2 linked regions of the Schizosaccharomyces pombe genome follow. The gene in region 2 interacts genetically with the main gene of each other region. Each region holds a gene or a part of one and is shown on either strand. Other genes may lie near its edges.

What was found.
Region 1: mutations in thi2 (region 2) and ptr1 impair growth when combined (synthetic growth defect), as found in Schizosaccharomyces pombe (one study listed by BioGRID).

The regions. Positions count from the first base shown.
Region 1 is NC_003424.3:5,207,068-5,211,966, reverse strand, and holds the start of ptr1 (E3 ubiquitin-protein ligase), read right to left. Parts: upstream 3,328-4,899; 5' UTR 3,192-3,327; coding exon 1-3,191. Other genes in the region: terminal uridylyltransferase Cid1, read right to left, coding at 3,832-4,664, 4,766-4,899. UniProt on the Schizosaccharomyces pombe protein: Probable ubiquitin ligase protein involved in mRNA export. E3 ubiquitin ligase proteins mediate ubiquitination and subsequent proteasomal degradation of target proteins.
Region 2 is NC_003423.3:3,938,730-3,942,320, reverse strand, and holds thi2 (thiazole biosynthetic enzyme), read right to left. Parts: upstream 1,796-3,591; 5' UTR 1,748-1,795; coding exon 761-1,747; 3' UTR 622-760; downstream 1-621. UniProt on the Schizosaccharomyces pombe protein: Involved in biosynthesis of the thiamine precursor thiazole. Catalyzes the conversion of NAD and glycine to adenosine diphosphate 5-(2-hydroxyethyl)-4-methylthiazole-2-carboxylic acid (ADT), an adenylated thiazole intermediate.

The sequences.
Region 1 (4,899 bases), on a different chromosome or scaffold from region 2:
ACAAGAATCAAGTTCAATAAGGTGGATGAAAGAGCAAGCAAAACACGATTACTCTTGGAAAGAGGATCTCTATCGGACAAACGAAAAAAGCCAGAAACGGTCTCATTTAAGCTAATCAATACATCCATTGTTCGACACCCACCCAGTAGACGACTGATCAGAAGCACAAGAGTAACCTTTGAATCATCTTCTCGAATTATGGATGAAGCACCTAAAACAAAAATTAAGGAGGCCTCTAAAGAAGCAATACTGAGGGATTGCGGATGAGATGTGATTTGCTTGCTTGATAAGTTAATAAGTTCATCAACAACAAGAGCGATATTACTACCAAGTTTATGAATCATTTTGTATTCATTGAAATCTTGTACGCTTGTATTTCCTAAAGCTCGAGTTAATGAAGTGAAAAACTTAGATACTCCATAAGCAATTTGAGAAAAATTCGAACGTATATTCTGAAATTTACAAAAAGATGAATCTTGTGTTAATTCCTTTTTCTTTGTCTCAAACTTTTCTTTTTCATCTTTGTCGGTAACGATGGTAGTCAAGGAGTCACTGCAAAGAACAAAGTCATCAGAAACACCTAAACATATATGTATGTCCAATGATGTTGCAATGCTTTTAATATTACATAAAATATCAAAAATACCAGCATAACGTGAAGGACTAATAAAAAGTTGAACTAATGGAAGATTTCCAGCTTTTTTCAATGCAGCATGGGAAGAAAATAGCTCAGCGAAAATAGTCAGCAAATTCCCAACGATTGAGAAATGTAGAAAATTATTTGCATCTTCGTGGCCCATATTTGAGTCCTTTATCAATGAAATCGTGGCTTGTTTCAGTGAGACTATAGTAAACTCAGTAATGCCTTCTTCACATCGAGTAATTATACAGTCTAGCAAGGGCCGAAAGACCTCTGGAGCATCAAAATCAACTGCATGATGTAAAAGAACAAAAAACGAGTTGAAGGCAGAAGAGTCTATAAATCCAAAAGCCAGTACGGGATGTTGAATGAGATTGAGCACGTGCGACACAATCCCTTTGGATATTAAATACCTTGCGTGACCTTCGTTTGTAATAATATTTTCAAGAAAACTAGAAAATGTTTCAAGATACAACAAATAAGGATATTCTTTGGCATTTATATATTGAAATGGATTGAAATTGTCAAGAAGAGCGGAAACCTGGTCACAGGCTTTAAATATCATCTTCACAATTGGATCTTTAAGGGAGGGTTGATGCCGCATAAGTTCGTCGATGTAAGTACCAAGGATGGCAGCATTATCGCTTGATATAAGTGACTTACAATGATTTAACGATGTGAATATTGAGAAAAGTTGTGGGATAGGATTTTTCTCTAAAAATAAATCAAACCCTTGAGAGTTCAAGCATATTGCACCAAAAGCTAAAGGAATTGATGTTATTGCATCAGAAGAATTGAGTATTTTCCGATTGACAGCATCCAAAAATGCATGTGACAATTTCTTTTCATGAATAATTCCATAGCAAGTAGGCTCATTATGGATGAATGTTGACATTATATTAGTAGTAGATGCGAATAAGTTGGAGCCATAGACTTCATGGTGCTCTAGCAGAAAAGCAAGGGATGAAATGAGAGAAGAATCAATTAAATTACGAAGCTCAACGACAGAGCCACCTGATTGAATTAGATGTAACACAAACTTGAGTAAATTTTTTAGAAGGAAGTAACGGTCATATGAAATGGCATAATCCATATTTAAAACAATCTCTGGGTTACCTTTTCCAGATTTAATATCTTGAAGTCCAGCCTCAAGCTCGTATTGAACACGGTCAACCAGCATATCCAATCCTTTAGACTCAGAAAAATCTGGGAATGCCATAGAGTAACCATCGATGAGATGGTCCAACATGACAATCGATCTTGCTACAACATAAGTAGCCTGTGGAGTCTTCACAGACAGATGATAACCCAAAAGAGAAGTGAGACCTGCAGAACAGGCCATGTTACCGCCAAGAGGCGATGAAGTCATAAATTGAAGGAAGTCATAAAAACTATCAACATATTCTCTCTCGTAATAGAAATTCGGGTTTTCTAAGTTTTTAGAAAAATCACGAACGAGATTCATCATTAATCCGTAACTAACAGATACATTTAAAGATGCCAGTACAGATGGAATCATACTCTTCTTAAAGAAGAAAGCTTTAAAACATTCAAAACAAACAGCTTTAAAGTTTTGAGGAAGATCCACATCTGGAGAAACCAAATTAGCTAAATGGGTGGTGATTTCCGGATCGGCGATTAAAAATCTTGTTTGAACTGCCTGAGAATGAGCATAAACAAGATTAGAAAGAGCCAATAATCCGATACGAATCATCAAGCGCCGTCTATTTATATCATAAAGATTTTGACGTAACATTAGTGAAACAAGGAGATCAAATGAATATTGTTCAGGAATCTGATTATCGTGCAAAGTTTTCACAAGAAGCTCTTCTATAGGCTTTCCAAGAACTTTATTATATGGTAATTTTAAAATCGAAAATCCTTCAGAATTTGGTTGACTTGCAGATGAAAAATCTTTTGATGGAGAGCTTTTATAATAAGAAAGCTCCAAAGAACACCATTCTTGCGGGATCTCATTTGAAAATAACAAAGTCTCGTAATTTTGTGAAAATCCGGTTTTCATTGCATCTTGAGGAAGAAACATTAAAAAGCGAAATAACCGATCTTGTGAAAGAGAAAACAGCTGCTTTCCTCGCTTTGAAATCGTTGCTTTTTGTACAATATGAAGAAGCAAGGCTAATGTAGAATCTATAACTTCGAGCACAGAGCTATTTAATAAATACTCTAGATAAACAGTAGAGTTATATATGGAGCGATTCGCGCAATGACTAAGCAGATGCGCCGAAAAGCTCAGGATCTCTAACAAGATACTCAAAGTGTCAGAATCAAAAGGTTTTGTCTGAACTTTATCCTTTAAAGAATAATGTTCAACAATACGTTCCAGAATAGCATCAAACCTATTCAAAACTGGGACCCATGAATACAAATCGCCACGAGGATATGGCCAATCGTTTTTTCTGAATTCTGAACAAAGAGAGACAAGACCCAAGTCTGAAGTTACTTCTTCATTTTGAGCTTGTCTAATAAACTCAGCAACCCTAGGAGGTGGCTGAGAATATTGATTTTTAGGAGGACTTTTCGTTATCCTCATTTTTGCTTAAAGCATCAAAATCTCGAAATATAGTTAAATACCCACCTTGAGAAAAATGCCAAATTTATTATGTTCTAATGAATTGTACCAACGAACAGAAGGGAAATAGACCCAGCTGAATGTTTGGTAAAAGTTCAAATGTGATGGTTAGCATGCTGCAATGCGTCTACAAATTTGGAAACAATATGAATTTTACGAAAAAATTTGATAAGCTAAAATAATTTCTGTACGCTATAGTAATTAAGAAAAAAAGATAAACTCTTTATATGTGTTTACGCACATTACCGAGGCTAAACGAAAAAATATTTGGTTATTTCCGTTCAATTTAAAGAAATTGATATAAACAATAGCTTAGCATTTGCAATAAATAATTATTAATTATAGATCTATGAAAATTTTTTGGACATTGATGTTAACTATGATGAGCCTATTTTCTCACCAACAAGTAGACTATTAACAAGAGGTTGTACATAAAACAAAGGGGGAAAGGTATTAGAAACAAGAGGTCAAAATTTTTAAAGAAAAATAAAAACATTCCATGCTTTCAAAAGTAAGCAAATAAAAGCAGAGTAATAATGAATGATTACTATGAATCTAGGGGAATGAATATTGATGCGCTTTTTAAGACTTCTTTGTAAAATCACTCAGAATTGTCACCATCGGTTTCATTCAACAATTTTTTGTTAGATTGTTCATCCGTTTTTTTCTGGCGACGAGGCGGAATTGGGGCCTCCTCAAATAATGAATCATAAGGGATAGGATATGAGCGAGAATTGAGCAACCTTGAAGCGGCCATAAATTCCCCTCGAATCCGATACAATCCAGAACTGCTAACTGTCCTACCCACATTATGTGAAATCTCGAAAGGATCTTCAATCGCAAGAATATACCTGTCTTTTATAATTTGATCAGCCGATCCAGTGTGTTCAGTAGCTGAAGTCCATCCTTTCTCTTGCTTTGTGAGGTAACCGTCTGGTCTACGAAAAGTTACTACCTTTTCCCGTGGCTCGAACTTATAAGCATAAAATCTAAAAAAGCCATGAAGTAAACTTCCCAATGAGCTATAATTTTGGGAAGGAGGGATATCTTCCAGTTTATCGTCAAAACCAACGTCAAATCCATCAACTATCTTTTCTTGTTTCAAAGGTGACAACAGTAAATTAGGAAAGACGGGAGGCTTGATAACGTGAATCAGATAGTAAAGAACCATTAGGACGTAACCATAACTGGAAAGAGTTCCAAAGTAAGGAGAGTTGATTTGCTTCCGTTTGGCCCAATGCTTAACAAGAAGGACCATGGGTTTTAGGCGAGCATCTAATTTTGTATATGAAGAAAGTAAAAGCGTATTATGAATAGCTAGACGATTGTTAAATCCAATATCACATTGAAACGAAGCCCCAAATCCATTTTTCGTATCAGATGTTAATTTGATAATGGGAATTCTTGCCCTTTGTAAAAATTTTCCTTCAAATCCTGTCGATAGTTAGTTATGCGAGCCAACTGGAAAGGAAAAAAACAATATTCAGAGATAGTTTGTCTAAACTGAATAACTTTTAATGAATAATTATACTTACCTTCAGCTATAAGCTCTTCATAGAATTGGAGCGCAATTGTATCACTTTGGACGCGCGAATCCATAAGCACGCACAAATCCATATCCGAATTTTTAAGTGCTAAACCAGATTCCAAACTTCCAAAGGCTACCAAT
Region 2 (3,591 bases):
CTGTTAGTTTTTATTCTATTTTTTTGTGCTGAGTACGAAATGAAGTGAATCCATATCACATAGGCATTTTCGATTTCCATGTTTTTGAGCTATTTCGGTATGCATTAATGATTTGTCAATCGATGGCAGTTTCTTTATTTCATTGCTCGCCAATGTCAAGTCAATTTTAATAGACATTTTTAACCTATATCATCGAAACCTTTATACGCAGCAATATCAGAGTAGATGTATATGATGCATCCAATTTAAAGCATGTGTCCTTACGATTATACTATCAATAGTTTTTTTAACCGGTTTAAATGCAATTAATACAATCAATATGACAATGTAAACCGTTAATAATTTGTTAGAGAGTTTTACTAATTTCCAATAATTTAGGGCAAATGGTTGAACATGAAAGTACTTTGATATCTTCCCTATAGAAATAGCCTTTTATTATTTAATTTGTTAGTTCATCCAATATAAAATATTATATTAAGCGATCTGTGAAATTGAGAAGATAACGCAAGATCTCGCTTACAGTTTACTCTAAACTGTTGTGATATTTCGTTAGCCAATTATATTGTACAAAACTACGTGAAAAGGCATAAAACTCATAGCTAACCAAAACTACGAGAAAAGCAGGTTTATTCTGTTAAGTAAATGTATTTGAATCTCTTTGAGTATAAGTAAATTGCATTAAAAAACGTTGTAGTAATGGTAAAATCAATGACTAAAACAAATGTAGAAATATCAAAAGGTTGCTAGTACACTATTTTCTTTACAAGTACTTTTCATTAACAGCCTTACGTTCATCAAAAATAGCAAGAGCTTCTTGAGCAGCTTTGATGCCGCTAAACATCATACCACCGAAGGTTGGTCCCATACGGTTGGCACCATCAAATTCAGAAAGCTCCATACCTCCAACAATCATTCCTGGAAAAACTTCACGAGTTCCCTTTACAATAAGGTCCTCAGCACGGTTCATATCTAAAGGACGCATGTCGTGAAGGTTAGAAACAAGTTGAGCACTGGCAAGGCGCTTGACACAGAAAGCGCCGAATGGACCATCATGACCAGTAGCAGAAACAACCAAATGGGCATTAATAGTGTTTGGGTCCATGCAAGATTGAAGACCGTGATTCAAGGAAACAAGGGTCCAATTTGTAACAACACCGGCAATGCGTTGCTTACCATCTTTTCCTTCCTTAACAATCAAATCTTCAACAGCAGTGGCATTGAAAAGTTTGACATTAGGAAGTGCCAAAGTACGGGCCATAACAGTGCTGGTGAAAAGAGCGGCATGTTTGACCACAACATAATCACCCTCATCTTCGTAAGGAACACCAATTTCATTTAAGAAAAGATCAGCTGGCTTACGAACAACCATTGCACTAAAAAGCTGACCACCAAGCCAAGCACCACCACCTGGAGCAACACTAGCCTCGATGATAGCAATCTTCAAATCAGGGCGGCGAGTTCCAATGTAGTAAGCTGCAGTAAGTCCTGCAGAACCAGCTCCAACAATAACAATGTCGGATTCAGCATATTTATCCAAGTCGCTGAAATAGCGACGAGTCATAGCACGGCTTACAGTGCTTTCACGAATAGGAGCAAAGCTAAATGACTCGTCCAAAGAGTAAGTAGGGTAAGCCTTTGATAAAGCACCCATTTCACTTTTCACTACAGTGTTATGAGCAGTCTTTTCAACTGGCAAGTCAGTCTTGAAGGCAGTTTGGGGTGTAACGACAGCAGTAGCAGGGGCCATTTTGAAACTTAAGAATAATATTCAGAACCGATAGTGGAATGTTCAATTGATGCTGAAACATGCTATGAGCCCCCTTTATATATCAAAATTCTTACCATCTTTCGACTTTCATTTTTGTGACTACAAACAAACTTGCCTTTGGCTGCCGGGTTCATAACTCCGTAGTATCAAATTTCGGTTACATATTTCCAGTTTCGGTTGCAAATTAGTGGATCTGATTTTTTAAGCTTTTCTGGTCATTTTATATAAATCTTTGCATAGAAATAGTGTAGTCTGATGATATGACACAAGCATTAATATTGAACAGAGATCGAATTTTAAAGACAATTAGCGTCAAAAAAATTAATTTTTTAATGTTAGACTTAAGATCAATAGTACCACAAAAGTTTAGAGACTTTTCTAACATAAAATTGCCATATTTCAAATTTGATAAAAGTGTTTCGGACTCGGAAGCTTGCAAGTATGGCGAGTATTGGGTTGCATTCGTAAGTGTAATTGATACATGATAAATATCTGAATATGCAGCTATTATTTGCTGATTTTGTTCGCATCCAAGTAACTGATCGGCGGCGATGAATTACAGATGGCGTCTTCAAATTAAAAATAAAAGCCTCATCACAGTAACTACCCGTCATTAAAGATTACAATCTCATTGGAAAGTAAAAAAAGAGCCAGGTGATACGGATAGACATCAATACATCTCCCTTTTTGATTGAAGACAGACTTGGGTGTTTCGTTAGATAGTTCATCGTGATTTCCAAGCCAATGACTTTTTGACTGTTATAGCAACTAACAGGTTATTAATGTAACTTTGGCTTATATATAAAATCATATCCAATGGCTCACCAACTAAGGATGGATGCTATTATACAAAGCATTTGCATAGTCTTCAAATAAATATAAATTGAAGGGTTGAAAGGTCAGCTGATGATGAAAAAAAGATACCTTGATTTTCTAAAACTCAACTTCAATCGATATAACATTCTTATGTTTCGATTAAGCCAGTTTAGATGGTGGTAAAGACATAGCATGCCATCATAATCGAGAGCTTTTAAGCTCGGAGTCTTAATGAACACATAACTTATTGTTATTAATGAAACATATTCATTATTCAATATATGAGATATTTTGCAGCAATGTATACAACCTTCCAAGAAGGTTTATTGTATTTGCTTCTTCGACTCATTAAGGTTCGATAGTAAAATTTTACTAGCATATCCTCATTATTATCCTCTTTTGTTAAATATGGTAATTTAAAAAATATTTTAGTTAAAAACTCTCCCTCCGGGATTCGAACCCGGGCTGCAAGCGTGACAGGCTTGTGTACTACCCCTATACTAAAGGAGATTATTGTGAGGATTACTAATTTGCAAAATATAATTGTCGTGTACTTTGTGTTGCATGAGCAACTTAAATAGTTTAGTCAGTTTTTGAAGGCTTCGGATACAGTGAAGAAAGAAGGTAAGAATTTATCTCTAAAATTACTTTCTTTGGTCTTCTTCCCTACACGTCTCGCATGTATTATATTTATCTGTAACGATGAAGATTGAAGAGATTGTGATTAATTTCATTTTTTGTTGTAGGCTGCGATAATTCAAAAGTTGAAAGACAATGGAATTCAATAGTTACAGCCATTGATGGCTGATTTCGTCAATTGAAATTTTTGGCAGCACTTTCATAGCTGTGTTTCTTTACCTTTACTAAATATACCGTAAAATAGCTTTTAGTGTAAAAATGTTAATAGAATTCGGGCTAATGCGATTGAGTACGAAATTAAAATAAGAATGACAAATGTTGTTGAGCTAAATAGCACAAACCCAATGAGTGCATTAAAAAGTAGAGAA